Linked DNA regions of Notamacropus eugenii. The main gene of each other region encodes a partner of the protein of the gene in region 4 in a complex. Links are inferred from orthologs where the notes say so. Each region holds a gene or a part of one and is shown on either strand. Other genes may lie near its edges.

The links.
Region 1: the proteins of RAB11A (region 4) and RAB3IP are in contact, whole or in part, in a crystal structure (PDB 4UJ5), measured with the Homo sapiens proteins. The link is inferred for Notamacropus eugenii from reciprocal best matches to the Homo sapiens genes RAB11A and RAB3IP. Residues at the interface, in NP_004654.1 of Homo sapiens: Phe36, Leu38, Glu39, Asp127, Leu128, Arg129, His130, Leu131, Arg132, Ala133, Pro135, Thr136, Leu156; in NP_783322.1 of Homo sapiens: Asn367, Thr368, Leu369, Ser370, Ile371, Glu372, Pro373, Asp412, Arg424, Thr428, Cys431, Asn432, Thr435, Tyr439, Leu444, Val445, Lys446, Gln447, Gln448.
Region 2: the proteins of RAB11A (region 4) and RAB11FIP3 are in contact, whole or in part, in a crystal structure (PDB 2HV8), measured with the Homo sapiens proteins. The link is inferred for Notamacropus eugenii from reciprocal best matches to the Homo sapiens genes RAB11A and RAB11FIP3. Residues at the interface, in NP_004654.1 of Homo sapiens: Arg33, Ile44, Gly45, Val46, Glu47, Phe48, Ala49, Thr50, Trp65, Arg72, Arg74, Ala75, Ile76, Ala79, Tyr80, Arg82; in NP_055515.1 of Homo sapiens: Asn731, Phe732, Gln735, Ile738, Asp739, Arg740, Ile742, Val743, Met746, Glu747, Pro750, Ser751, Leu753, Glu754, Val755, Lys756.
Region 3: the proteins of RAB11A (region 4) and MYO5A are in contact, whole or in part, in a crystal structure (PDB 5JCZ), measured with the Homo sapiens proteins. The link is inferred for Notamacropus eugenii from reciprocal best matches to the Homo sapiens genes RAB11A and MYO5A. Residues at the interface, in NP_004654.1 of Homo sapiens: Arg33, Glu35, Ile44, Gly45, Val46, Glu47, Phe48, Ala49, Thr50, Gln63, Trp65, Gln70, Tyr73, Ala75, Ile76, Ala79, Arg82; in NP_001369276.1 of Homo sapiens: Ile1660, Gln1661, Trp1738, Met1742, Arg1745, Tyr1746, Ser1749, Gln1750, Glu1753, Arg1756, Gln1777, Gln1780, Val1781, Lys1782, Lys1784, Met1795, Glu1818.

What each region holds. Positions count from the first base shown.
Region 1 is NC_092874.1:247,281,508-247,288,944, forward strand, and holds the start of RAB3IP (rab-3A-interacting protein), read left to right. Parts: upstream 1-4,433; 5' UTR 4,434-4,560; intron 4,561-7,437. UniProt on the Homo sapiens protein: Guanine nucleotide exchange factor (GEF) which may activate RAB8A and RAB8B. Promotes the exchange of GDP to GTP, converting inactive GDP-bound Rab proteins into their active GTP-bound form.
Region 2 is NC_092872.1:54,402,596-54,409,705, reverse strand, and holds the start of RAB11FIP3 (rab11 family-interacting protein 3), read left to right. Parts: upstream 1-4,107; coding exon 4,108-5,196; intron 5,197-7,110. UniProt on the Homo sapiens protein: Downstream effector molecule for Rab11 GTPase which is involved in endocytic trafficking, cytokinesis and intracellular ciliogenesis by participating in membrane delivery. Recruited by Rab11 to endosomes where it links Rab11 to dynein motor complex.
Region 3 is NC_092878.1:381,271-389,193, forward strand, and holds the start of MYO5A (unconventional myosin-Va), read left to right. Parts: upstream 1-4,907; 5' UTR 4,908-5,003; coding exon 5,004-5,030; intron 5,031-7,923. UniProt on the Homo sapiens protein: Processive actin-based motor that can move in large steps approximating the 36-nm pseudo-repeat of the actin filament. Can hydrolyze ATP in the presence of actin, which is essential for its function as a motor protein. Involved in melanosome transport.
Region 4 is NC_092872.1:128,251,816-128,259,763, forward strand, and holds the start of RAB11A (ras-related protein Rab-11A), read left to right. Parts: upstream 1-4,938; 5' UTR 4,939-4,954; intron 4,955-7,948. UniProt on the Homo sapiens protein: The small GTPases Rab are key regulators of intracellular membrane trafficking, from the formation of transport vesicles to their fusion with membranes.

The DNA.
Region 1 (7,437 bases), on a different chromosome or scaffold from region 4:
AATTTAGTCACTTTGGGAGTACTGTTCCAAATTGCTTTCCAGAATCATTCAGTCCACTTTGTATGTCCACCAGAAGTGAATCCCTCCCACAGTCACTCCAATGACCACCATTTTTTTTCATCATTTTTGCCCATCTAATGGGTGTGAGGTACAAAGGCAGTTTGTTTTAATTTTCATACCTCTTACTATCAGTGATTGGAAACATTTTTATCTGATTGTGCATAGTTTGCATTTCTTCTTTTGAAAACTGCTTACTCATATCCTTTGATCATTTATTTTGTTGTTCAATTATTTCAGTCACATCCAACTCTTTGTGACCCCATTTGAGTTTTTCTTAGCAGACATACTGGAGTGGTTTGCCATTTCCTTCTTCAGTTCATTTTGCATATGAGGAAACTGATGCACATTGGATCAAGTGACTTGCCCAGGGTCATACAGCTAGTAAGTATCTGAGATCAGATTTGAACTCAGGAAAATGAGTCTTCCAGACTCTAGGTTCAGCTCTCTATCCACAATGCCACCTTGCTGCCCACTTATCTATTTGGGGAATAGCTTTTCTTCTTTTCTCTATTTGTATTCCTTCTTTCTAGTACTAAAATATCAGTTTGCAGACTCTTCCAAAAAATCATTGTTGCCACATTATAACAAGGAAAGAACAAAACAGCTATAAGAAACTTTAAAAAATCAATCAGAATTAACAGAAAGAACACAACAGAGAAAGAAATGTTATTTTCTAATTCTAATTTCTAATTCAACTCAGTTCAATAAGAATTTATCACCTTATGAGCCAAGTTCTGTGCTAAGAGATAAGAGTTCAATAATCCCTGCTTTCAAGAAGCATACTTTCCACCCCTGACTCAATTTGCAACTTGTTTTGTTGATTCTTAGGTCATTTTTTTCCCCTTCTTCATCTTAAGGCCAGTAGATTGGCATAGAATAGTAAAGAAAATATTGTATTGTTGCTGATTTGAGTTCAAGTCTCAACTTGGGCAAATCACTCAACTTTATTTAAGCCTTTGTTATGGAAAATTATACTTTTACTAATTACAGTGTCCAAAAGTGGAATGAACTACCCTCTCAGCTCCCCAGGCAACCTAAGACTAAGTTGCAGAACAAGGGTCAGTCTGCTTTGGTAGAAGGAATTTCCTTTTCAGGAGATCCTCACACCAATGAAACCTCAGGTTCCATTCCACCCTCCCACCCCCACCCCCAATCATGGGGTTAAGAATTTTAGTATGTTTGTGTATGGAAACTACAAAGTGCAACCATAGTTTAACTAATCAGAGTCTCACAGAACCAAAGGATCTCTGACTTAAGAGTTGATCTAAGACAAACCCACTGAGTCTCTGCTTAATCACCTCTATTTATGGGTGAGTTACTCATGTCAAAGGATGACTATTCTACTTTGGGTCAATTCTAATATGTAGGACAGTTTTCCTTACATGGGGTTGAAATCTGTCTTTTTTTTTTTTTAACTTCTACTTACTGGTCTTAGCTCTGCCCTCTGGGTCCCCAAACCTCCAAATCTTCTTCTTTTTTTATTAGATGACCTTCAAATATTGTCAATCATTCTGTACCTCTTAAGTCTTCTGGCTAAACATTGCTAGGTCCTCAAAATTTTCTATGGTATATGTAGCTGGTTAAAACTCTGCTCTGCTCCCTCACCCATACTCCAAAACATACACACACACACTCTCTCTCTCTCTCTCTCCCTCTTTTTCTCTTTCCCTCTCCCTCTTTTTCTCTTCTCTCTTAAAGGGTGAGGACTTTTAGCATAGCCTCAACCCTAATTACTTCTTTTGTCAGGCACATCACATTGCTAGCTCTTACTGAGTTTGCAGACCACTAAAACCTTGGTGTATTTTTTTCCTATTTCTTAGGCTTGGTTTTTATTTTTTTTTTCTCCCTCCTCCATATTTTGTATTTTGATCTCAAATGCAGGATGCTGTATTTGTTAGTATTAAATTTCAACTTTTACAGATTCAGAGGTGGAAGGGAACTCAGAGGCAAGTTATTCTAACTTACACTTAACCAACAATCCCCTCTGTCACAAAACCCCCACTAACTGGTCATCCTGTTCAAAACAAATGTCATCTGGTTAGTTTGGGGCATTGTCCCAGCTAGATCAGAGGCATCAATTGCTTTGTTCCTAATAGGCACTTAATAAGTGTTCTTGAATAACAACAAAATGAATCATGGTTTCTCACCACCAGATTGCTGGCAATCCAAGAGCAGGGGAGGGATCACTGCCACATAGCATTCTAATGGGCCATGCTGATGGTAGGTGGTTCTAAGTGGCCTGGAGACAGAACTCTCTGCACAGGAAAGTTTACCATTTCCTGTACACCCACCATGCTTTCAGTAATATATATAACATTCATGGGTGAGAATTCTATCACAATGATTTATTTTGGTCTTTGCATCTTCAGTACTCAGAACAGTACCTGGCACACAGTAGGTACTTAATAAATGTTTTTTGATTGTTAGTTTATTGTTTGCTTATTAAGTGTTGTTTGAATTGAATTGCATCACATTTCAAGGTAGTGTGTCATGCATATATATACACATGTGAGTCACATTAGATATATGTGAGCCTAGAGCCAAAGCCTCTTGTCAGATGAAATGGTTGGATTTGTTGGCTTCTGAGGTCCCTTCTGGCTGTGTATGATCTTATATCAATATAATATCCTTAATAAATGCATGAGTCACATAAATTAATTTGAGCCCAGAACCTTCACATCCCTCATGGAATGTACAATGTGGAGGTTGGACTAGCTGGCCTCTGACTAAACAGGGATTGATTTTTTTTCCTGGTGTACTCCTGGTGCTTGGCATAGTGTCTGGCACATAGTATGTCTTTTTAAAAAACTATTTATTTTATTCTGAACTTAAATAAAACAAACATTTCCATAACACAGTAGAATGGGGGAAAAAGGTGATTGTACATGAAACTGCAAATCTATTATGTACAACTTGTTACTCCTTTTAAATATATAATAAAGTTATCATATCACTTTCTTTTCTTTTTCTTCTGTTTGTTGACTTCATTCTTGACTGACTCAGAAACTCCTGGTGGAGGCGGTTGGTGGCACAGCGGATAGAGCACTGGACCTGGAGTCAAGAAAACTCGTGTTCAAATTGGGTCTCAGATACTTATTAGCTCTGTGACCCTGGGCAAGCCACTTAACCTTTGTCTATATCAATTTCCTTAATTGTAAAATGAGATAATAAGAGCACTTACCTCCTAAGTAAGGTTGCTGTGAGAATCAAGTGAGTTATCTGTACAGCACTTGATACATTGTAGTCATGCACTTGATACATTGTAGTCATGCACTGAATATAGCGCTGGGCTTGGAGTCTTCCGGAATTCAAATCTGCCTTTAGAAACTTAGTAGCTGTGTGACTCTGGGCAAGTCACTTAACCCAAATGTGCCTCAGTTTCCTCATCTGTAAAATGATCTGGAGAAGGAAATGGCAAATCACTCAAGTATTTTTGCCAAGAAAACCTGATAGAACAATAACAAATAAATACTTGTTTTCTTCCCTTCTTCCACTAGATCGATGACTCTGTGCACATTACTGTGTATGCTTTGCTCTTAATACGGTGCCTGGCACATAGTAGGAACTTAATAAATGTTGACTGATTGATTGATACTAGTCACGCAAACTAAATGTGAGCTTGGCCAGCTCGGTGACCTCTGGAGTCTCTTCTACTAGATCTGTGAACCTGAGATGGAGCCTTCGGGGACTCACACCCCCATATATGAATTTTTTTTAATGGCTACTTTTATTTTCTTTTTTCCCTCTCGCAATTTCCATTTTTTTTTTCTCTCATTTGGAAGTCTCGGAACAGTCACCTTGTAGTAGTTTAAGGGAGTCAGCCTTCAAGGCAAGAGCCGCTTTTAAAAACAACACAGTTTCCTCCAAGCAGTTCCTGGAAAGGCAGGGATGGGGGTGGGAAGGAATGAATCGACTTTCCCCTTCCACGCGTGTCCCCTCCGACTCCGAGAAGCCCACGCGGCAGGTCCCTTTCCAGCAGCCCCGGTCCTCCAGCTGCCCAGCGCCTTCGGGGGCTTTTTGGGACTCGAACACGCTGGTGACATTGACGAGTCTGGCCCCGAGTCAAGGCAGCTCTGCGCCGACTCGGGACTGTTCCCGGGGAAACCACCCCGGCCCCAGACACCTGCGGCCCAATGAACCTGCAGTGCCCGGGGCGCGCGCAGGGGACGCCTCTGGGCGCTAGGGGGCGCCGCGGCGCGCCGGCCCTTCGGACCGACCCGGCCGTCCTGCCTCTCCACTTTAAGGGGGAAAGGGGAGTCAGGTGCGGGCGGGGTGGGGCGGGGTGGGGAGTTGGGTCCCTCTCGCCGGCTCCGGTCCCCGCGGCGCAGGCGCAGTGTCCGGCTCCTCCGACTGCTCCCCCCAGCGCAGTGCGCCGAGCTGGGCCAGAAGCGGAGCGGCGTCGGCCGGGGCAGCTGCGGATCCGGCTTCCTCCCGTGGTCCCTGCGCCCCGGCGGGCGGGCTCGTGGCGGGGGGGAGCCTCTCCGCGGGGGTTTCGGTCAGGTGAGTGTCAGCTTCAGGGAGGACGGGGGAGGGAGCGGGGAGCGCGAGCCGCAGCACCGCCCCCTCCGCCTCCGCCCGCCCCTCGGAGCGCGGCCGGCTGCGGTGAGGAGGCGCCCGCGGAGGGGTCGGCGCGCGGAGCCGGACCTTGGAGCCCACGGGCCTTCCCCGCGTCGGGCCACGGAGCCCGGGCGCTCGCCCCGCCGCTTCCCCCAGGAGCCCTGCGGCGCCGGGCGGGCTCGGGGAGCGCCTCCCACGGGCCCCGGCCTCGCTCCGCAGGCGGCCGCGGTTACTGATTAACCCCCCGCCAGCCCAGGGCCGCCCACCATGAAGTTCGAGGGCGTCTCCGAAAAAAGGGGGGATCCCGACCTGCCCCCCGGAAACTTGGGGCGTCCCACTCGGGCGACGAGCACTGAGTTAGACCCTGCTGTATACCGGGCGCGGTGCTCGGCGCCTTCCAAACCAATCAGTCCGCATGAGTGATCGATCACCTCCGTGGCCCGCGAGGGTGGTAGCAGCACCTGTTTCTCTGGGGTGCTGGGGGAGCGTCAAGCGGCTGATTTTGGGGGGGGGGGCTGTGATTTCATTGGAATGGAACCTCCCCCACCCCGACTGTACCTGGGAGTTATAGGAAACTGGGATCTTAGCGAGTTCCCCGGAGCCATCGATCGGCGAAAGTGACTTGTCCGGATCCCCCGAGCGAAGCCTTGAACTCAGCTCCCTGCGTCCTGCCCTGGGAAATGACAGGGAAGGGTTAGGACCCCCTTGTGCACCCTTCAGCTCTGGGGCTACGATCTTGCGTGGATGGACAGACGGACAACTCCCTCTGACACTGCTTACTTATACCTATCAATTCAGAGAACTGATTAGCTTCTCGAGAGGTTGGCGATCTGTGTCCGAGGCAGTCTTGAATCGGTCACTCTAGGTCCGAGGCTTGAGCTCAGGTTTACTGGCTTTTTAAAAAAAAGATAGGAATCTTTTATGAATAGGAACCTCTTTTTCTGAGTTTAATTTTTCCTTGGAGTTTTGAGCAACTCTCCATGAAGACCAAAAGCGATAAGTACCCAGAGAATAAAAAAATATGCACAGCACATATTATAGATTTCTTATAAAGTCTATTAAGAATTCACTTTTGAAAACAAAGAGCAAGTTACACACTCGAAAACATTTCCTTCCCTTAAAGCATGAAATCTTTCTGTAGATAGACAAGCTTTCTACCCCACTACTCGGTACTGCCTGGTTTGTGTTAAAGTGCACCTTTTTGGATAAAAGAAATTATTAGCTTATGCACATAAATAAATAACCTTGATAGGGTCTCCATGTTTTTCATAAGGATTTCAGTTTATCAGTCCAGGAACTTTATTTGTGACTTGTTTTTGAGAGTTGTTGTGTTTTGTGTTCTTTGTTTTTTGGCAAGATGAAGTCACTAAGGCTTAGAGGTGCCTCTCCTGAGGTTTCAATAGTCAGATTCCTGGTGGGAATAAGAACAGGGGGGAAAAATAAAGCTTTTCTGAGTGGTGGAAGATGGGTAAAGGGGAGAACCACGGGCATAAACTTTAGCACTGGTATTTCACCCCTGAGCTGACTTGGTGTGATTTTTAAGTGGGAAATTTGTACAATGGCTTACAAGTTTTCACTTTACGTGGAGTGTGATGTATCTGAAGGTTAATGGGGATCTTTCAGTTCCTGGGAGGAAGGATTTGGAGGAAATTTAGCAGTTGTCATTTACATCTAGGCTGTCTGTATTGACTGAATCCTTTTCTGATTGTCACTTAATGCAGAATGGTGACATGATTTTTAGGGAGATAATGGGATGTCCCAAACTCCTGGGTGGCTAAATGCTTGTTTTCTCAAAGAACAGCTTTTGTTTTTCCTTTTTATTTTGTTGCTCTTTTTTATTTTAAATTTGCATTACATTTAGTTTTAATTAAAGTTTGTTTAATTTTAGTTACTTTAGATGATGGTTTATTTACAAATTCGAGGAGAAAATAGCCTGGGTTTGAAGATCAGGCAAAATAAACAATTGATGCTATTAAATAATATTACCAGTTTCATGAAGTCTTCTTGTGATAACATTTGTTATTGTACTGTGTAAGTCAGTGTTGCTTGGACAGCATTTGTTGATACATCTCAGAAATATGGTTTAGTAGTATGGTGTGATGCTAAATGCTTAGTAGAATTTATATTAATCATTGTGGTAATTGTTACTTGAGTATTTGAGTTCCTCTAGAAGAAAAATAATAACTCCTTTTTGTTCTTGCTTTTGATTATGTGACCAAAAAATGAGATATTGACATGTTTCTTTTTTGGAAAAAAACTTTCTGGTGTATATCCGTATGTATGTTTTATTACCTGAATTTTACCACTAAGGTAAAAGAAGTTTCTCATAGCTCTTATGTGATCAATAAATAATTCACATTTTAGTGCCAAATGACTCTTCACATTTTATTAGAATAAACTTAATTTGAACAGATAACTCTGCTTTTTAGAAATCTGTGAATTTCTTATTAGATTATAGCAATAATTTGTGAATCAGTGTCCTAAATTCATATGCTGCCTCTACTTTTTTATGAATCACTATTGATAGATGTGGTTTCAATGCTGAATTGATCATAGGTTTTTAAGATTTAGAGCTGGAAGAGACTTTGGAGATAGTCTAGTTCAAACCTCTTATTTTATAGTAGAAAAAAAGTGAGCCTCAGAGATAGTAGATAGATGCTCAAGGTCATGACAGGTGGTTAAAGAAAGAGAACTATAACTCACACCAGGTCTTTTGAGGATAAGCCCTGTTTTCTTTATACATCTAAACTGTTCTTCCTTTTCCCTGCAACCCTCACACACATTTTTAAAATGGCAAAGTGAATATACTTTGGGTCTGTC
Region 2 (7,110 bases), about 74 Mb from region 4:
TGTTCAAGGACATTGAGGAGACAGGCTATAGCAAAGGGTGTGTGTGAGGGAGGAGGGGGAGACACAGTCTTTTTCAACTGGTAAAATTAAGAGGGATTGGAAAAAGCTTTCTGTAAAAGTTTTAGTTTTAGTTTAGTCTGCTCAATAAACACAAAAGGAGAGAGCTTTCCCACAATCTTTCAAAAGTAGAATTTCACAGGTTGATTTAAAAAACAAACATTCATATATGCTGTCAGGCCATAAAACCTGTCAGGTTCCCAACTCCAATTCAAATACTTCCTAAGGGCCATTAATGCCCAAGACACCCTACTAGGCAAGGAGATGCTAACACAAAAAGGAAATTATCTGTCATAGGAGCTTAGGTTCTATTGGGAGGGAAGATAAACCTGTAATTAATTCCAGAAGGAAAACCCATCAGACTTCACCCAGCCCCCATCCCATTTACTGGGGTAAGTGTGTGGAAAGGAGGGGAAGAAAATCTGAAAAAGCTTCCAAAAGTAGGTGGAGCATGATCAAGACTTCCTGGCTACCTTCTCCCACGTCTCAATTATTCTACTTCTAAAAGAGAGAATGATTCTTGCCAAAAGGGTAGTAAAGGATTTTCTGCTACTGGTTGCTGGCAAGACTTAGTTAATTTAATTTAGTTTAGAATGCAATAAATTGAAAACCTGATTACAACATGCTACTAAAATGATTCATTTAGAGTGAACTGTTATTTTAGTTTTCTGTTTGAGGTAGATTTTTTTTTTAACTAAGCAGAAAAATGCTTGTTTTTATTGTTATGATTTTAAACTTCAGCACTTGAGTCAGTCAACAAAATAGTTTTAGCAACCAGAGAAGTATTCTTTTGGTACACTGTAGAAGAGATTCTTGTTCAGGTTCAGATTGGATTAGATGCCCTCTGGTCCCTTTCAGTCCCGAGATTCTGAAACAATAGGGCACATTTACACACCAAACCAGCTTTCCACCTTCTACAGAGCTCTTAGGCAAGAAACCTTTCTTTATCTGGCCGGAGGAATTCTAACTATTGTCTCATCCACATTAACACCACCCTTCTATTGAGTAAGGTTGACATAAAACTCATGTGAAAAACTGATCGGCTAAAGTCAGGAGTCTATTTTCAAATTCCTGTTGAAATCAGAAGCAGGTCTTTATCTCCCTTGAACACAATAATTCACTTGTTTCAGGACTTGGCTCTTACAACTTAGAAAATAGTTCTGAGGGTTTTTCTTCTTTTACCTCCTAAAATTACACACACACACACACACACACACACACACTACACACTCTGTTCTGTAGTCCTCCTGTGATTGAAGGTTTGGAGATGAGTCAGTTAATTATCAGGGCTACACACAGAGACAGGATGAAGTAACCTATTCTTTGGCCCATTGTCAACTCTGATACTCTTCTGTGGTAAGATAACAGTTCATAATTATATTCATCATAAATTCTGCCATATGCTAATTTGTCACCCTTCCTGAAGCTGTCACGACCCCTTTTCTCTATTCTCTAACACCTACCTGTTTGCCTCTAAAACGTGAGAGACTGTCAACTGCCATGCAACCCAAACGCTATCTTAAATGTTTTCACAGGTTAATAGGGATTGAAATTCTGCTGGTTAGGGATTTTGTCATTCTTCATGTTCATCCAGGACCAGTACAATACGCTGTGGTTATCCAACTACACTCTTTCATTGTTGTAGTGAAAAGGGCTTTGGAATTGGTGTCAGAAGACCTAGATTGAATTATGAGCTCTGCTGTTTCCTAGCTCTGTGATCTTGGGGCAAGTCATTTACCCTCCGTGCTTTACTTTCAATCGTAAAATGGGGATAATGCTCTCTACCCAGTCTACCCCACAAGGCTGTAGAGAGGATCAAATAAAACCACAAAACAACGGCAGCATCTCAGAGCTGGAAAAGATCCTCCCAGGTTATCTCCAAAGGCTGAACAAATCATTTCTTCAACAACTTTATGTGCGCTTGGCTTGAAGAGCTCTGCAAATGGGAGACACACTACCTCATGAGGCAGCACATTCCATTTTTTAAAACACAGTTCTATTAGGAAGGTTGTCCTTAATTCGCATCAAAATTTACCTGCATAGGACTTAGACTTATTATTACTAGGTCTGACTTTTGGGACTAAGCAGAAGTCGAATCCTTCTATTTAATATTACGTGCCTACTATGTTCCAGGCGCTCGCGCTGGAGTTACAAAAAGAGGCAAAAGACAGTCCTGTCTCTTGTCTGGTGGGAAGAACTCTAGGGTGGGGTTGCAGTCTGGCAGGCTGTCCACTTACTGGTAGATAGACAAATCACTTTGCCCCTTTCTGAGCCTTTCCCCTCATCTGTACAACGGGGAGAATCCCTGTACTACCCGCCCCCCGCTTATTACAATTGTGGGAAAAGCCGTGGTTAAACCAATCTAATAAATCCTGTCCATTCCTCAGGAAAAACAGAACAACCCAGACAAAACACTTCCCCTCCTGCCAGGTCTTTAAGAGACACTGAATCAAGCACCCACTATGCGCAAGGCGCATCCCCAGTTCTTCGTTTCTGGGACAGTTTCTAGCCCCCTGTTGCCTTCCTCCGTGGGCAAGCGCTTTAGGAACTTGTCAAGGGTGAGTGCTCGGACAGCCCGCGGTCAGAAGTCGGATGCATCGCCGCAGGTTCCCGGGAGCCAGACCTTGGCCACTACCGGCTCCCGGGAGGTCGAGCCAAAAGAGCTTCTGTTCCCCAGCCCGGCCCTGGGCGGAGGGGAGAGGGAGGGAGGGATGGAGAGAGAGGAATGCGGGGCGGCTCCCCCGGGGCAAGGGCAGAATGGGGTGTGTCTGTGGTGGGGCCGCCCCGGCCCCCCTCCCCTCCCCTCTAAGCGGGCGCGGACTTCAGAGGTCCTCCCAGTCGGGAGGGAGCCCCTCATTTAAGGCGAGAATCCCGGAGGGATGGCCACTACGAGAGGCAAGAGGACCACGGACGCTCCGGCCGTCCGGGCGGTCCTGGGCATCGAAGCCGCGCCGCGCCGCACACCCTCAGCCACTTTATGGTGAAGGTGGCCTCTCCTTGAGGACTAGGACGGCACCCAGGCTCCCGCGGGGTGTGGGGGAGGAGGCTGGGAACCGGTGCGGTCCCAGATCGCCCCATCCTTCAGCACCACCTCCGCTCACCCCAGCACAAGGCAATCAGGTGACGTCACCGCCTCGGCAGCGGCGGCCCCGCAGTTCTAACTTCCCCCTCGCCCTCCCCCAGAGGGAGGAGAGCCACAGGGCCCACCAGTACGTTCCCGCGGCTTGGCACCTGGAGCAGCCCCATTCCCACACTCCAACCTCCTTTTTCGAGGAGGCGGAGACAAAGAGCCTGGGGCGTGAGGAGGGAGCCAGTTCCAAACTCCCACGTTTCCTCGCAGCACACCCACCCCTGCCGGCGCCCGCCGCAGCGGGGCCTAGTCAGACCGCCGCGCCGCTCTTTTATAGTCATCTCGGAGGGGGCGGGGCCAATCCAGACGCTCATGAACGTGTTGACGCCACGCGGCCGGGAGAAGGGGCGGGGCTAAGGGCTCGAGCTCAGCTGCCTCCCGACTCTTCAGGCTACCCTCCGCCCCCTCAGCTTCGGGGATCGAACCCGAGAACAGAGCGGCCAGGGCGGTGGGCTCTCTCCTTAGGCTCGCGGGCCCCCCCACCGCTCCCCAGCGCGACCCCATCCCTCCCTCCCCTCGTCGTGGGCCTCTTCCCAGCCGCCATGGGGCCCCCCCCGCCGCTCCCGGTGTGTGCGGAGAGATGAGGGGCGTCGGTGGTCAAGATGGATGCGGGGGCCCGACGGCCCCAGCCGCGGCTTCGCCTGGTCCGGGCGCTGGAGGGTCTGGGGGTGCCCGCAGGGCAGCGGCGCCCGCACGGATGCAGTGATGCTCTCGGCGGCCGCCGCCCGTCCTCCTCCTCCTCCTCCTCCTCCTCCTCCCGCGGTGTCTGAGGAGCTCTTTTGTCTGCGGCCCGAGCCGCAGGGAATCACCCGCCGCGCAGCCCCGCCGTCGCGGGCCGCAGCCCGGCCTCGGCCCTGAGGGGTGGGGGCGGGGTGGGGGCTGCTTCGCCGTCGTTGGCCTCCCCGGCCAGTCTCCTTCCCATGAAAATGGAGCCGGATTTATTCGTGACTCTGTCCGCATCGGCCGGGACCACGTCGGACTCCCTGCTGACGTTCGGGGACCTGTTCCCGGAGCAGAAAGGGAAATACTTCCTCATGGACCTGGAGAAAGTGTCGGAGGAATCCCGGGGGCAGGTGCCTGGTCCCGATCTGGTGCTGCTTCCTCCAGAGACCCCCCCGCAGCCCTCGGTGCTTTTAGGGCCTGTTCTGCAGGAAAAGGGGTCTGTGGCTTTCCAGCAAGTTTTGGGGGAGGTGAAGCTCCGCCAGGACTTATTTTCTGAAGGACCCATCAACTATTTGTATCGGTTAGAAAATCCGGACCTCTGTCTTTTGGACCAAGAGACCCATACTCCTGTCGCGGACCCCGACCGGGATTTATCTGTCAGTGACAAGCAGATGTCTTTGCTAGGTGTGGTTAACGATTCGTCTGAAGAGGATTTTAATACAGCTCTTACCTTGGGGCAGGATCCCGAAGTCTCCGACCGGTTAACAGGTTCTGACGAGCAGGAGCAGGAGGACCTCTATGCTCTGGAATTGGGCCCACCTCGGTCACCTCCGCAGGATTTACAATTGAGCATGGAATTTAGGGAGCAGGAATCATGTACGGAAAACCGCCTTGGAGAAAGGGATAACATTCTTCAGGATCAAAGAGATTTTTACTTAGGCATGGACCAGGCTGCTCCCCCGGACACCAAAACCCAGCTCTCAGGACTTGATCCAGTTTTTTCCTGGACTAAAGAGCCAGAGGATTATGTGCCCGGAAGATGCCAGAAAAGTGTTTCGTTAAGTGCGGAGGATTTAAATCATAGTTACCAAATTAGTAATGAAATAAACTTCTTTCCCTCTTTCACTACTTCCACTTTGTGTGATCTGAAATTAGATATAGTTCAGAATAACCTGGGCCAACCCTCTGATTTCAACCAGACTGAACCAATTCCAAATGAGCCTTCCGGGTGTCAGGAAGATGGCCCTCGCCTCAGAGCTGTGTTTGATGCCCTAGACAGAGATGGGGATGGTTTTGTCCGTATAGAAGAGTTTGTTCAATTTGCTACGGTTTATGGTGCAGAACAGGTAATATAATCCAACATTTCTCTGATTTAGGTAATTGTTTGTATGTCCTTGACTATGTGCCTCCCATGTGTTTTTATTTCATCTGAAAATTTATCTTTTTGATTTTCCATCATGAACAAATAATGTCACTAGTATATCTGTTTACATTAAATATTGGGCAATCTTGAAATGTATGGACAAAGATAATAGCGTTGGGAGGGTTTTTTCCCCTTCCACACTGTAGTGTCCTTTATCTCTGATCATATTTCTTTGAATCTTTTTCCCCCTCCCCCCCTTTAAAATTTTGTTTTTGTGTCACTCTCCCACAAATACGGTAAAATATCTTCTAGATCTAGTAAGGATAATTTTATCAACTTTAGCCTAGAGCAATCTTGGACATAAAGTTAGAGGGGCCAACCTTAATCAAAAACCTGAACTTATAGCTGGGTTTTTGGGGGAGGGGGGTTGAGGTAATACATAAGGACCTATAAAATCCTGTAACTGCGAAGGACATATTAGTAGCTTCTAGTTTTGAACAGTTATTTTAAAATGTGTGGTTAGGAATTTTTCTAAATAATGGGGTTTTTTATTTAGAGCCAAGAAAAGTAGAATTATTTTTCCCTACCTCCAATTGATTTTCTGCCTATACTCCTTTGAACTATTTAATTACTAAATGCACAAATTAACAGATGATTAGCGTTGGAAGGAAAGGCTGAGTTTGAACCAGCTACCTCTGGAACCTCAGGCAAACTCCCTCTGCCTGAGCTACCAGGCAGGAAGCTCAAGGGCTCTGTACAGTCAGCAAGCAGCCTTTTGGCTTGGCAGCCACAGCCTGCAGTGATGTTGCTACTGCTGGGTGGGATGCCTCCTCCTGCCTGTCACTCCTTCCTCTTCTCTTCAACTCAGGGCCTCCTCACAGGGCTTCTTTCCAACAAGAGATAATCATGGCATATTGTAGATCCAGAGCTGGAAGGAACCTCAGAGACCATCTAGAGTGACTCCCTTATTTTATAGATGAGGAAACTGAGGCCCAGAGAGTTTAAATTACTTGCCCAATCTCATCTATTCTAACCCTTTCTTTTACAACTAGGGAAACTAAGGCCACATAATTGTTTTTCCCCATGACTAAACTAGTCATCAATAATAATAACATGTATATAGGCTCTTAAGGTTTGCAACGCACTTAGCTCATAGCAGACCTGTGAGGTAGGTAGGTTGTACAAGTGCTATTACCTAATATATAGATGAGGATACTGAGGCACTGAGCAGTAAAGTGATCTGACCATGATCACACAGATAGGAAGTGGCAGATGTGGGATTTGAATGATTCTATCAGAAAAATCTCTTAAGATTTTGATAGTGATAGACGTAATTAAATTTTTAGTTTACCTTAAGGATTCTTCTTATTTTTTAAAAACCTCTCATTAAACATTGTCTGCTTTTCAACATTAGTTGAAAACTACACATTGTTACAAGTTCTTGTCTAAAGTGATTCTTAAGTTACCATCCTTTTCGCAGCTTAAGGCTCATCATTTTCAGATACATATTTGCATTTATGTATATGGCACAAGATCATGGTCCTTATGTGACCTAGTTTATAGTAATATGTTTTATTAGAAGGCTATCTGTACCCACTGTTTTGTAAACTATAGGGTAATGACAAGTTCCTAAATGTGGTTCTGATAGGATTTTATACTTTGGTGGCTTCTTGTATATACATCAGCATTAAATTGGGCATTAAAGTATATTCACAATTTAAGCAGAAATCCTTTTAAAGATAAAATGTAATATCAACTATTCAGAATACTATTTACTTACTGTAATGATGTTTATAAGTCAGCCTTACCTATAAAAACACAATATTTATGATATCTATTGTCTGAAACATACTGTACACACATGACAATATAGCTATCTATCTCATGGTTCTTTGAG
Region 3 (7,923 bases), on a different chromosome or scaffold from region 4:
GCAAAGCTGAGAGTGGAATGGAAAGGGGGCAGATGGAAAGAGAAAGGATAGTTTGGGGATTTGGGGAAGGCAAGGCAGTTGGGGTTAAGCGACTTGCCCAAGGTCACACAGTTAGGAAGTATCAAATGTCTGAAGCTGGATTTGAACTCAGGCCCTCCTGATTCCAGGGCCTGTGCTCTATTCACTGTTCCACCTAGCTGCCCCAAGGGGATGATTTTGAAGACCAGACACCAGGGAGAGAGACATTACATTGAATCATACTTCCAATCTCACCAATGGATCTCACTCAGATTTTCCATTCAAGAAGGCATCTGGGCTAGTTGGATGTCCCAGGGCCAGGTGGCCCTCGCCTCTGAGGGAAGTTCCAAGATGAGATTAGCATTATTTGGAAGTCCTGGACCTGGAACAGGGTTGGGAGGTTCATTACATTGAATAATATTGCCCACCCCCCTTAGCCTTTGGTGGGGGAGGCGAAGCCCCAATAGTTGAACTGACAATAACTGCTTTATAATAGTTTTGATATATAGGTAATTGAGTGCTCATCATTTACAAATGAAAAGGTATGTAAATATATCTGTCTGAATACCCATGGGTTTATTAAGTAAGGGAGAGGTAACTGATCTAGTTTATGTTTGGTGACTTTAATTCTGATGTCCTACTTGCGATGTCTTTCTTTTTCTTGGACTCATTAAAGGTGCCATGCCCTGGCTACTTCTTAAACAATGAATGGGCTTTACCTCACCCCAAGTGAGTACCTGCAAAGACCTTGACCTAAAGGGCCCAAGGTCTTCCGATTGCATTCTGGGTCATCTCCAGTCATCCTGAGGAATATCTGCTCACTGGATTCAAATGACTCAGATTCTCTGGAGGAGAAGAGAGGCTGGTGACCTGCACAGCCCTCCCTCATTCAAAACAAAATCAAGTGCAAGTCATGTCATCATTTCTCTGATTCTTCGGCAACAAAGGATGGACACAAAACCAACAACAATCCTACTTGTGAACAAATGCAGTGTTCTCTGATTTCCTTCCTTTTTTGTCCTGATCTATCCTTCATCTTCTCTCTTTTTCTTTTTCTTCCCATTTCCATGTCCTTCCTTTTACTCAAAACATTCCCTTAGCATTTGGGGGTATGTATAGGTGAGAAAAGACATTATGCAGTTTGTCGCCCCCCCCCCCCTTTAAAATATCCCATATATCTGTATAATATCTGAAACTTTTTCAAAGCACTTTCTTATGATTTCATTTGATCCCCAAGGCAATCCTAGAAGGTAGGTATGATTTGACAGATCAGGAAAATAATCCACAGAGTAGGTTAAGTAGAGGTCATAAGATATAGAGAAAAAAAAGAAATTGTGAGCCAAAAAACCTGGGTTCCATTTCAAGGTCTTCCACCAGCTAGCTGTGTGAATCTGTGCAAGACAAAACCTTGGTGGAACTTAATTTCTCCATTTATAAAATGCAAGTGTTGGACTTATTGTTCAGTTGTTTCAGTCATGTCCTACTCTTCATGACCCCATTTGGAGTTTTCCTTGCAAAGATACTGGAGTGGTTTGCCATTTCCTTCTCCAGTTTATTTTACAGTTGAGGAAACTGAGGCAAGTAGAGTTAAGTGATTTGTTCAGAGTCAGACAGCTAATAAGCATCTGAGGCCAGATTCGAACTCAGGAAGGTAAGTCTTCCTAACTTCACACTGGGAGCTCTATCTGTTGAGATTTAGGGGTGCTCACAAAATACTGACATGCCAGGACCTGCCTGAATGAATTCTATGGAAGGCTTCTTTCAGCCAAAGAAAAACAAAGTTTATTTAAGACATACCATATTGGATAGACTCTTAAGGAATCTCAGCATTTGTGAGCTTGTATTGATAAGCGGGCTAGGTAGAATCTGAGCTAGACGGAATCTGAGTTGATTGAATCTGAGCATTTTCATGGAGGCAAGATGGATCTTATATACAGAAAGATTGGGGGAGGGATCTAGGGGTGGTCAAGTAGTCTGGGGTAACTGGAGGAGGGATCCAGGGAGGGTCTTGAAGGGAGTGGTCTGTAGACTGGGGTGAGGTTGTTGTTCTTTCTTGAAGAGGACCAAAATGACATCACCATGATAAAGTCAAGTTTCAGTGTGTATGACTGTGGCTGATCAGACCAAGAGTTCGGAATGCTCTACCATAGATTGCGCACAGATAGTCCAAGTGAACATCTGAGGTAGATACTCCAAATTTGTGCATCCTACATTTCCTTTGAGCTATTTCAATTCTGCTTTGCTCATAGAGCACAGCACCTTCTCTTATTTGGGCACACCAAGCCGAGCAGTCCTGTGCCAGTGTCTCCCATGTCACATTATCAATTCCAAAGTTCTTGAGAGAGACCTTGAGAGTATCCTTGTATCGCTTCTTCCGACTACCATGTTAAAAGTCTTCTTGGCAAGCCAACATATTGCATTTGAACAATGTGGCCAGCCCATCGGAGACACTCTCTGAAGTATAGTTTGAATGTTTGGCAGTTTAGTTTGAGTAAGGACCTCAGTGTCTGGTACCTTATCCTGCCAGGTGATCTTCAGAATCTTCCTAAAACAATTCAAATGGAAGCAATTCAGTTTTATGGCATGGGGTAAGTAGAGGTAGGACCCCAGGAACCAAGAGAATGGGAATTTGATAGGATAGAGGGTGGGAAGTAGTGGGAAGTAGCTGCAAGCAATCAGGAGATAACCGACTGTGGAGGGCTGGGCTAGGTTAAGGCCTCAGGCAAACATCAGATTAAGTAAGAAGATTTCTAGGAGAGTTCAGGGAGGCTCCCAGAGCCTATACCATCAGATCATAGAATTTTAGAGGTGAAGAGTCTGTGAAATCATGTAATCTAAACTTCTCATTTTACAATTATAGAGAATGAGGCATAGAGTTGCTAATTGGTGGCAAAACCAAGATTATTTTGAGATCTCCTGAGAAGCAGAGTAATTAATTAGTACATACAGAACAGGTCTTGAGTTAAGGAAGATCTGAGTTCAAATCTCCCCTCTGAAACCTACTGACTGTGAACTTGGGTAAGTCACTTCACCTCTTAGGCAACTCTCTAAGAAGATCAGAAATACAGAAGGTGTTGACTTTAACTTGTAGAGGAAGTTTCTCACCGTATGCTCCATATAGAGTGAAATGTAAGTCTCTTTCCCTATTCCACACATACACTATTACCTCTGCCATCCCCCATTTCCTAAAAATTGTCCTAGTGGCCTAAAGTGCAAGAATAGCAGTTTCTGGGCCGCCATTATGAGTCAGTTGTTCACCTTCTTCCTTATCCTCCGTACACAAGCTGAGTTCCTGAGCTTTCAGTGTTAGCCATGTCCCCACCACACACTCCTTCCTCCCTCCCTCCCTCCCTTCCTTCCTTCCTTCCTTCCTTCCTTCCTTCCTTCCTTCGTTCCTTCCTTCCTTCCTTCGTTCCTTCCTTCCTTCCTTTGTTCCTTCCTTCCTTCCTTTTCTCTTTCTTTTCTCAAAGACCAAACCTTAAATCCATTTCACTCTGGAGCTCATATATTGGACCACAACAGATTCCTGCCCAAGTACCACTTGACGGCTATATTGGAAACCCTTATTAGTAAATATCCATAGTAACTGTTTCTCTTTTGAGGAGAAACCCCGAGGGTCTTCCCCTCCCAGTTTGATTTTTTTTAATTAAAGGGGCCATCCCTTGACTTACTTCTCAAAATGAGAACCTGAAAAGGCTTTAGCCTAAAAGGGTCAGTGTCTCCAGGGTATCCGACTGCATCCTGGGCCATCCCCAGTCGTCCTGATGAATATCTGCCCACTGGACCCGGATGACCCAGGAGGAGAAAGGGAGGCTGGTGACCTTGCACAGCCTTCCTCACTCAAATCAAAGTCAAATCTTGCCACCATCTTCCTGATGTCATGGTCCTCTCTGAAAAGGAAGGACAAACAGAACCGCACACAACAACCTGGGGCACGTGTTTCACCTTCTGGGGCTTGGCTTCTCTGTGCGTCAAATGAATGGGGTGGACGAGACGAAAAACAATCACACCAATTTAAGAATGAGTCAAGAAAAGCGGAGAGTGGTAAAAAGGGGCTTCCAGAGCGGGGGGAAGCGCACCCACTCCTGGAGCGCGCGTGCAGCGCTGCAGACGCCCTGGACAAGTCACCTTACTGCGCTCACCCGCAGCCCCAGCGGAGCAGGACAGAGGCTTCGTCGGATCCCTGCGGTCCGTGACCCTTGGGAGTCACACACAGACACGGAGACAGTTCAGGAGGTGGGCTGCGTGCCCAGGGCACGAGGGGGAGTCCGGCTGAGAACTGGGTCACCCGGTGCCAGCCGCAGTACCCACTGCCAGGGCTCCCTCCACCAGCCTTCAGGAGGTGCCCACTACGTGCCAGGCACGGGCAGGGACCCTGCAGAGGCCCTGCCTGATCTCCGACCCCCGCCCTAGGCGCCCCGCGCAGACCCCAGGCCTGCCATCCCGGGCTGGCTTGCCAAATACAGACAAATACCGCTGGCCCGGGTGTGCCTCGCCCGGTGGAGGGGAGGCGGGCAGGCGCGCGGCACGCGGGCAGGGCAGGGCCGGGCTCCGCCGGGCCGCCTGGCCCCCGAGGATGCTCCGGCCGCGCCCGCAGCCGATGGGCGGCAGCGTGAGCCCAGGAGTTCCTGGAGCGGCGGCGGAGGCAGCGCTGCCTCCTCCCGCTCCCACAATGCACAGGGCGGCGGCGGCGGCGGCGGCGGCAGAAGCGGCGGCGGCAGAAGCGGCGGCGGCAGCAGCAGCAGGAGCAGCAGCAGCAGCAGCCGCGGCCCCAGCGGCCCCAGCATCCCGAGGCGTGCGGACAGCTCCGGGACCTTCGCCCGCCGGGGATGGCCGAGCGCTCGCGGCCCGCCGCCTGAATCCGCGCCCTGCCCCGCGGCCCATGCGGGACCCGGCCTCTGCAGACCCGACAGAAGCGCCGGCGGCCCGGGGGGCGTGCGGGGCATCGGCGGGGGGACGAGGCCCGAGCGGGCGGCGCCGGCGCCATGGCCGCGTCCGAGCTCTACACCAAGGTAACGGCCCGGCCGGGGCAGCATCCCGGGGAGCGGGCGGGGATGGAGGGCGATGACGGAGCCGCCCGGGCGGCCGACCCAGATGCCAGCCTCTGCCGGCGGGAGCGGGATGCCCGTCCGTCCGTCCGTCCGCCCGAGACAGCTGTCACGGCTTGGGCGTTGGGGGGGCACCGGAGGAGCGCCACCCTTCCGGTGCCCGGGCCTCCTCGCCGGAGGGCCCAGAGCATCCCTTTGGCTCTCCCCCCTGGCCTGGCACGCCCTTTGGGGGCACGGTCCGTGGGTCCGCGGAGGGCCTCCGAGAGCGCCTTCCCTCGTGGGTGCGCGGCGTGCGAACCGACAGATCCGCCGCGAGACGCTGCTGGAGGCAGGAGGCCTTTCTCCTGGGGGGGGGGGGAGTGAGGGGCTCGGCCCCCGCCCTGACCCCTTCCTTTCCGCTTGATTGCTTTAGGCTTCTAAAGGATCGTCTGCGTATTGACTGAGGGACCCTTCAAAATGCTTCCAAGCAATGACCTTAGAATGAAGGGTCCTTGGGCAGGCAGGGGCGCCCCAAGAGCGGTTCTCCTGGCGCTGTTTGTTTTGCCTTCTCTGCTGGTTTTTGGTTTGTTGTGTTTTTCAGCAGCTTTTCGCCTTTTGGCTTACCAGTGCTAGACCGGGCTGGATTGGGGCATTAAGTGTTAGTCCCTGCCCGATCCATCCATGTACCAGGGTGATCACTTGTCAGGATATCTGCAGATTCTTGCCCTGGGTTGAACCCTCAAGGGTTTTCCTAACTCTTAAGATTCCAGGATTCCAGGATTCCTGACTGAGGTAGTTATTTCTCCTACTCTTATTAAAGGGGTCTCTTTTGCTACTGAAGTTTGCAGCCTGGGTGTATATCCCCTTAACTCCTACATGTCTGTTTTCATGGCCATTCATTGAGGGCAGATCCTTCTGAGCTCACTGAATGTGTAAGGATGTATTCTTTTCTGTTTTGTAATCTTTCATGTTTCAGAATGTTGCATTACCTTCTTGAAGACTCTTCTAACACCTGGGGGCCTCCTTTGTTCCCACTCTTGCCTGGCTGTGGTTGCTGTTTTTCAACACTGAGGATCTCAGTGCTTTTAAGTTTATTTACAACAGAATCTTTGATGACAAATCTGTGGGTGTAGAGATAGTGAGGCCAGCGTCTAGAAAGGTGAGGTGGAAAGTACTCTCTGTTGAACAGAAAACCTGGATTGTAGGCCTGCTTCTACCATCATTTATCTCTATAACCTTGGCATAGTCAATAGAATCCAATGACTTTGTGATTCCAAGCTTATATTGTTCTTCTTTACTTCACCAAATACTTCCAGGTTCTCTGATTTCATCCATGTGAGTACATCGCTCAGTGAAGAGGATCACAAATGTTCTGTCTTCATGTGTTCTTCTGGTCAAAATAAATGGATCACTTTGTGGCCAGACTCTTCCCTCCTTTAGCTAGGCTGGTCCTCATACATCAGACATTCAGTCTGTTGACTTCTCCCTGACACAGAGCTTTCCAGCCTGGGTCAAACCCACCCATTTATTAATGGCATACCCATTGTCATTTTTCTGCTATGAGAGAACTTTGGTATAAAGCGTTAATAAGGGATATTTCACAAAACTAACGTTACCTTCCCCCTACTGTGTGAATTCAGATTTTAAAAATTCTAGGACTCATTTAAGAATAGCTCTGGCATAAGTAATTCTATCTATACATAGCCTTGGTTACTCAGTGCATCTCCTACAGATGTTCATTACAATTGAAATGGGACTCTTCAACAAGAAATCCACCTTGTTAATAAGGCATTTCAAATAAAGACTTTGGCTGTGTAAATTTCTCTGATCCACCTGTGCCTAGTCATTTATGTGAGAGAAAAATCTTACCAGTATCATTGAAATTTTGAAGGTTTTAATTATTACATCTAGTCTCATGATTTTCAAGGTTAGATTGTAAATTCAAAAGCCTTTTAATATGTACGTTATCATAATCCTAAATTTGAACACCAGCTTTTAGCCTATGTAAACTTAATTAGAAACCTGAAGTCCTCACTGGCTACTTTCTCCTAAATACCTTTGTGTTAAAATAAATTTAACTATTTGGTTGTATTTTGGGAATTGGGCCTTAGCTGGTATTTGAACTTTATGGCTCATATTCACTTCTATTATGTTTTTGACCTTCTTTGGGTCTCTAGTGTTATAAACGGACCACTTTCCTCAACTGCAGGCAGACAGTTGGAAGAGTATTAGTGACAGTGCGTAACTGTGGAAATATTAGGAAGATTTCCAGAAATAAAGGCTTAACGAATAGCAGTTTTGTGAGGGGGGCATCAGCTGGAGGACAAGGCCCAAGCGGGAATTCATCAGAAGTTGGAAATATCAAAGAAATATGGAAATGATGGACAGGGATTACAGGAAAGGAAGCAATATACTATTATAAGAAATGGAGATGATGGTAAGGTAATATGTTAATTTTGGCATTGGACTATTAAAGTTATTTTAATAGAACATTTCTTTAGATTTATGTAGGTCTTAGTAGAGAGGAACCTTTCCTGATAGAGGGAAAACATAAAATGCAGAAAGGGGTAGTTCTAGTTTTGGGGATTTGCAATTTATGCATGGATCAAGTCATATTACAATGAATGGTAGAAACTATACAATTTCTCCTGTTGAGTCAGGATGCTATTTGTTTGGCTAAAACTATTAAGTTTTCTGTTTTGGAAACCTTTTTTCCTACAAAGAAAATAATGATGAGATAAAAATGAAATAAAAAATGATGAAATAAATATCTGGGTTGCTAGTACGCACACACCTAAAACTTCTATCAAAACATTTTATTTGGAAAAAAATGTTTTCCGGTATAAACTATCAAGTTGGAGAATTTCTCATCTTTTCC
Region 4 (7,948 bases):
TTTGAGCGATATCTCTAAAAGATTCCACAGCCCTCAGATACTGGTTCCACCCTTGACTGGGGCTGCCAGGGGAAAGTCAAGACTGTGTGTGTTGATTCCAGAGATACGAGTCATACTTCACATTTATATAATGTGTTAACATTTATAAAATGCTTCCCTCTTCTATTCTCTATGCAGCTGATGATTTTAATATTATTATACCCATTTCATAAGTAGAGTCTCTGAGATAAAGTGACTTGCCCTTGGTCACACAGCTACTATGGGCCAGATCTGGGATTTCAACTCAAGTGCCCCCTATCTTCAAGGTCCAGTGTTCTTTTCACCATCCCATCTTGTTGCTACCTCAGTGTGAGCCTCCTCTGGTCAGCCAGCAGCAGAAAGATGATGGAGATTGAAGATTGACAGGATTTTGGGGCATAATGAAGGAGAAAATAAAAGGTAGAATTGACATTTTTAAGTGCCTACAGTGTGACAGTCATTGTTCTAAGCACTTCATAAATGTTATCACATTTGATCTTCATGACAGCCCTGTAAGGTAGGTATCATTATCATCCCCATGTTACAGTTAAGAAAACTGAGGAAGACAGAAATTAAGTGACTTGCCCAGTGCCACATAGTAAGTGTCTGAGATTAGATGTGACTTGTCTTCCTCACTCTAGGTCCAGCATCCTAACTCTCCACTGTACCACCTACCTGCCTCTAGAAAGAAGCCAAAGTGCATATTTGCCTGTTTCATAAGATAGGATCGGACCTGTCAATATGAGTCTGATGATAAAACTCTTTCTAAGGTCCAGAGTCATAACTTGAAATTCAAGGAACCAGGGCAAATTCAATTCAGAGGGGAACAAAGACTCTGAGGTGCCTGTTGGGGAGACTGGAATATACACACGTCACTTCCATTGCCACAAAGATTGCTGTTTTCAGGTGTCCCACATATTGTACGCTCCCAAACATGGACGTGATGTAGGCAAACTGTCTTGGGCTGGAGGGAGAAAGAGGGGCTGCTGCTGGTATTCTAGGAATAAGGATGGAGAGGAAAGGGAGTCCTTGGTGACCAGGTACCAGTCACAAAGGCAAAGGGGAAGAAGCATCCCTTTCCCCCTTCTCCTTCCCACAGGTTGGATCCTGTGTTACCAAGTCACCTTTTGCTCAGCATTATGTAAAAACCTTAGAGAAACATAGCCCAATCCAAAATAACATACTCATATAGTGATATTTTGGATTGTTTTTCAATAGGTCTAGTGATATTAATTCCCTTCAGCGTAAGAACTGCAAAAAATTGGGCCCTGAAGAGTGAGCTCTTGTTACTAAGAACTGTACCTAATGCATTTTCCTTCTCTAAGTTTCTCTGTCTCTCTCTTATTCTGTCTTTCTTAGTCTCTGTCTCTCAAACTCTCTCTCAATCTCTCTGTCTCTCTCTCACTCTCTGTCTCTCTCTTTCTTTCTTTGTCTCTGTCTCTTAGTTCCTCTCTCTCAAACCCTGTCTTTTTCTCCCAGTCTCTGTTTCTTATTATCTGTCTCTCTTTCTTTCTCTTTGTCTTGACCTCTTTCAATCCCTCTCACTCAATCTCTCTGTCTCTCACTGTCTTTGTCTCTGCCTCTCTCAATTCCTCTCTCTCTCTCTCTCATGATTTCTCTTTCCTCTTTGCCTTATGGTTCTCTTGAGTCTTGTATTTGAAAACCAAATTTTCTATTCAGCTTTAGTGTTTTCATCAGGAATGCTTGAAAGTCCTCTATTTCATTAAATATCCATTTTTTTCTTTTCTTCAATGAATTTTTGAACATCTTTTCTCCATTTGGCTAATTCTTCTTTTTAAGGTGTTCTTTTCAGTGGATTCTTGTGCCTCTTTTATCATTTGGTCTGTTTTATTTTTAAGGTATTATTTTCTTCAGAGTTTTTTGTGTGTGTTTGTGTCTCTTTACCAAGCTGTTGATTCTTTTTTCATGATTTTCTTGTATCACTCTCATTTCTTTTCCCAATTTTTCCTCTACCTCTCTGATTTTTAAAAAACGTTTTAGAGCTGTTCCAGGAATTCTGCGTGGGGGAAGGTAGAGCTGAGATCAATTCATATTTTTCATTGAGGCTTCAGATGCAGCAGTTTTGACTTTATCATCTTCTGAGTTTGTGTTTTGGTCTTCGCTGTCACCAGAGTAACTTTTTATGGTCAGGTCATTTTGTTGCTGCTGTTTACTCATTTTTCCAACCTATTTATTGACGTTTAACTTTATGCCAAAGTTGGGTTCTGATCCTAGGGTGGAGGGGGCACTGTTTCATGCTTTGGGGTTTTTTTGTGCAGTCATTTTCAGAGCTAGTTCTTGGGGTCTGTAAGTTTTTAGTTCTACCAAGGTGGTATGATCTAAGGAGAGGTGCGTTTACCTAGGCTGTGAGTGACCACAGCACTCTCTTCCAACTTGGAACTATGACCCAACTCCCCCGTAGCAGCAGAAGTGGCTCCTCCTTGCCCTGGGACTACAATCCAGGACTATGACCTGGATTCATGTATGGGCAATGCAACCAAGTCCTGTATACAGTGTCAGCAAGGGTACCCTCATAATCTCCTTCTGGCCAGTTGTCTGGCCCCCTTACCATCTGTGGGCCGAGAGTTCTGGAAGCTGCTGCTGCTTATTCAGTTGCCGCCAAGGACAGCTGCTGACTTGCCAGGGTCATTGCCTGACCTGTACTCCACTCTCACTCCCAAGTGACAGAGATTTTCTGCCAACCTTCTAAATTGTCTTAGGCTGGAAAATTGTTTCACCCCATCCTTTTGTTGATTCTGTGGCTCCAGAATTATTTTTGAGGCATTGGTTTAAAGTTGTTTGGAAGGGAATGTGGGAGAGCTCAGGCAAGTTCATTCCTTTTCTTTGCCTTCTTGGCTCTGCCCCCATTAAAAACATTATTGTTATTATTCCCTTTCTTCTGAGTTCCTTGCTGACTCCAAACCTTTTAGGGTAAAAGACATTGCAGAGACTCAATTGTATCACAAAAATAAAATTTGTGTTTTATTCTGGATCTTCATATCCCAATCAACCCTATACATACAAATATATACATACGTACATATATGTTGTGCCTATGATTGCTTGATTGCAAATTTAAAAGGCATGTGCATGAAGGGCCTGATTTGAGAAGGAAAGTGGAAAAACTGCAGCCACATCAATCAGCCACAAAGCCAATAATCAAGAAGGAAAAATCTTCCCTTTCCTCACTCGGGAGTAACAGCTACTTTTCCTCGCCAATGCCAAATCAACATCAGCCCTGAGACAAAGCACTGTTTTGTTTCATGGCTGGACAATCTTGATTTTCAATAATTACTGGTTGATGACCATGAACAGTACAATTAAAACAATAGTGTTAGGTAACTCCACCAATCTCATTGTACTAATATAGGTGTCTTTCATGCTCTCTGCCTCCTTTGAAGTGAATGACATGTTGGATTTGAGCCAGTCTCCCACAGATATTAACTCAACGCACATTGATTCAGGACTTATATGTGGAAAGCACGGTGTTAAGCCCGAGTCCATCACCAGTCATCCAGACCTATGTCTTGACTCTAAATTCTGATGACCCTGGAGGAGACAGTGAGGCCAATGACTTTGAGCAGCCCTGCTTCGCTTAAATCCAATTCATATACATCACCCTCCTGATGTCATTGGTCCTATTAGGGCAGCTAGGTAGTGCAGTGGATAGAGCACCAGTGCAGGAGTCAGGAGGACCTGAGTTCAAATCTCACCTCAGACACTTGACACTCACTAGCTGTGTGACTTTGGGCAAGTCACTTAACCCCAATTGCCTCATCCTGGGTCATCTCCAGTCATCCTGATGAATATCTGATCATTGGATTCAGATGGCTCTGGAGGAGAAGTGAGGCTGGTGACCTGCACAGCCCTCCCTCACTCAAAACAAACTCAAGTGCAAGTCATGTCATTATTTCTCTGATAGCATGGTCTTCTTCAGCAATGAAGGACGAACACACACACACACACACACACACACACACACACACACACACACATTGGTCCTATTTGAGAATTAAGGACAATCAATAGCAACATTAAGCATTGAGGTAGGTATGAAGATAAAATATGCTGCCATTTCTCTCCTCATCCCCCCCTTCCTCCCTCTGTGCACATGAGGAGCCTTTTATGCAGTTTTTTTCACTTACGTTTCGAGGGGGCTAGATCTTTTTCTTCTCCATTTATTTATTTATTCTATTATTTTTTCCCATTAATTTGGGACAATTAACTCTTTTTTAATGTAGTTTTCCTTTATGTTTTCTAGAAATATAGCTTTGACAAACCAGACTTTGATAAAACCCATTGGTATTCAAATGGAAATACTTGACTGAGACTTTAAAATCCAATCACCCTGTCTCTCACTGACTGGCCAATAACAGGTTCCAGCCCAAGCCTCACTTACTCATTGTTTAGATTTTATGGCTCAGAGGGCCAGCAAAATAACAATTGTTTCTGTTCTGGCCAGAAACTTTGAGAGTGTTCCTCTTCCAGATCAAGTCAAACTAGACCAGGGGTGGGGAACCTGCAACTTCAAGGTCCTTTGACTGAATCCAAACTTCACAGAACAAATCCCCTTAATTAAAGGTTTGTTCTGTAAAACTTAGACTCAGATCACGGGTTCCCCACCCCTGAACTAAACCATCTTTTGCCTCAATTCTCACTGAGCCTTAAATTACTAAGTAGATGTTGCCTCAGAGAAACTGAGACCTGAGAAAGACCTTAGCTTAAAAAGGTCATGGTCTCCGCTGCATCTGGGGGCATCGCCAGTCAACTTGTCTTATGTCTTGCCACTCGACTCTGATGACTGGAGGAGAGAGTGAGGCTGATTTTGCACAGCCCTGCTTCATTTAAATCCAGGTCACTTGCAAGTCAAGATATCACCCTCCTGATGTCATTGAATGAAGGACAAAGGACAACAACAACTGTGTTAAGCATTGAGGTAGGCATTAAAGATGTGAATTCTGTTTTTGTGGAGTTTGTATCCCAAATTGTGGGAAATGACACACATATACAAAACAATAGTATACACTATTATATGTACATAAGAGAAGTACAAAGAGGTCCAAGGAGTGGGTGTGGAGGAGATTGTTAGCAGTCTGGGAATTTCAGCAATAGCTGACTGGATGAAATGGCTTTTAGTTGGGTTTTAAAGGATGCAGAAAAATTCAAGAGAATAAAATAGGGGAGGAGGGCTTTCTAGGACTAGAGAAAAATGTGAACAGGGACAGAAAAGTACGGGGTATTTATGAAGCTCAGTGACTGGTCCTGTTTGGCTGGAGCATAGACCAGCAGTGGAGTGTAGGACAATACAGTGCATAGGCAGCTAGGTGATGCCATAGTGCACAGAGTGCCAGGCATGGAGTCAGGAACACTCCTCTTCCTGAGTTCATATCTGGCCTCAGATACTTACTGTGCAACCCTGGGCAAGTCATTTAACTCTGTTTGCCTCAGTTTCCTCAACTATATAATGAGCCAGAAAAGGAAATGGTAAACCACTCCAATATCTTTGCTAAGAAAACCCTAAATGAGGTCACAGAGTGTCAGACAATTGAAAAACAACTGAACAAAAGGGTAAAGTGTAGGAGAGGGGAGCACTGTGGAGCCCAGAAGATCTGAAAGAGGAATAAGGTAAAACAAAGTTGTAAAGGTAAAAAAGGTAAAGTGTGAAGGGCTTCAAATGCCAAGCAATGAATTTGGAACTTACTCTTTAGGCAATAGAGTGTTGATGAGGGGCTTTTAATCAATAACCAGACCCGTGCTTTGTCTTTTCTCTAGGGATCAATAGCTCCTGAAAGAAAAATACTTTCTAACACTACTCTGGGAACTCGCTCTTTAAGATCAATGGGTGTTATTCTTTCTTCAATGATTTCAGGATCACTCATCTCTTGGGCAGAAATAGCATAAGCTGAAAGGAAACAGCACAGGATAATACAAAAGACATTAGATTTAGAGTCATCGCTTTTGTCATCAAAACCTTTTTCTGCTTCTTATTACCTAGATAATGATATTACCTGAGCAAGTCGTTCCACTTCTTTGAGGCTCAGTTAGTTCACATGGATCATGAAGAAATTGGATGAGATGATCTCCACAGTCCCCTCTTCTATGATCCTTCGCAAGCATTGTTGTTTTTCAGTCATGTCCAACTCTTTGGGACCCCATTTGGGGTTTTCTTTGCAAAGATACTTGAGTGTTTTGACATCTCCTTCTCTATCTCATTTTACAGATGAGGAAACTGAGGCAAACAGAGTTAAGTGACTTGCCCAGGGTCACATAGCTAGTAAGTGTCTGAGGTAGAGCTGAATTTAGATCTTCCCCGATTCTAAGCACAGCAGTGCTCTGTCCTTTGTACCATCTAGTTGCCCCCCTTTTCACAAGTTACCCAACTCTTTCCTTTTAGAGGGCCAAAGGAAACAGAGTGAAGAATCGTACTCATGTACCTAGGGGTTTGACGTACTCTATTAATTTCCTTCTTTTGCATAACGTGTTATAAAAGGTCCTTAAATTATTCCAAGTGAGTCTTATCACCTCAATTTTGATGTCAGCTTCCTGAGAAGAAGAGTTAGTCTTCACCTCGATTCCATCCCTGTCTCCCTTTACTTTGCCAGTGCCAAGTATGAGGGGGCCTTACTAGGTGGATACTTAAGCAATTGATGTTAAGTAATTGACAGACAGGAAATATAACTATAATATTCACTCCCACCGAAGCAAGTTGAGTGGTTTTCCAATGGACAGTCTCATGATCTGCACTATGTACCTTTTAGAGGATGTGAATTCTGGGAGAAAATTGGGCTCATCTTTTGTATCTATAAGGGACTTATTTCAGTGGGTTGGATAGAGACTTCAACAGAGGACTTCTACTTTGACAGAGACCAGGCAAGGCAGGGACTTTAGAATGAATCACTCGAGTTCCTGGGCCTCAGCTATATGGGGAAGTTGCCCCCGTCACTGTGTCTCTTGATTTCCTGTGTTTGCACCCCCATAGAGGACATTACCATGGTAAGATTTTTCCCTCTGGCTTTGCTTTTGTTGAAACCTTGTGTCCTTCCCTATTGAAGAGCTCTTTGACCCTCAAGGATTCTTTGTTTATTCTTATCTGTATCATTTCCCCAATTGGCTGCTTTCTTTGACAAAAAGGTTCAAGATGGACTTTTGTGTAACTAGTATTTGGTGGGAGTAAAACTAGTGAGTATGAGTGAGTGGCTACCCTCCCCCAGTGAAAGCCATCAGGGCTGGCAGCTTTTATTCTAAACCCAGACTAATACCCCCAAACTACTTGAGTAGTAGCAGATATAATTCTAGCATATTATTGTCCATCCTTCATTTTCAAAGAGGATCAAAGATTTGATACCCCTCTCAGAGAGAGAAGAATTCACCTAGACTCAATGATCCTGAATCCTACCTGTTCTTTACCCCACACACCCAACTAGACTGTGGACAGTGCAGGCACAGCCTCCTTTCTTCAGAGGTGAGCCAGATTCCATATATCTACCTATGCCAACTGTAGCCCATATCTATATATTTATATATTAGACATCTCCCCAATATCTATCTTATATAATAAAAATAGGGGAAAAAAATCCAATCTAACTCAACTCTAATCAGAAAATACAAAGTCCAGGCAACACTGTACAGTAGTACCTGCTCTGAAGTTAGTCTGATCTCAAGTTCTATTTCTGATATTTACTACTTGTGTTTCCTTGAATACGTTACTTAACTTTCCTGGACTTCATTTTGTTTAACTGTAAAATGAGAGGGCTGGACTCGATTATCTCCAAAGACCCTTCCTATTATACAATCTTAATAAGTTCCCAGAGCATGACTATAAAACATTTTCCTATAAATGGAAACTCATGGATACACATGGGGAAAAATCCATTAAGGACCACAAGCAAAATGTGTCTTAAGGATAAAACAAATATCTTTGAGACAATTT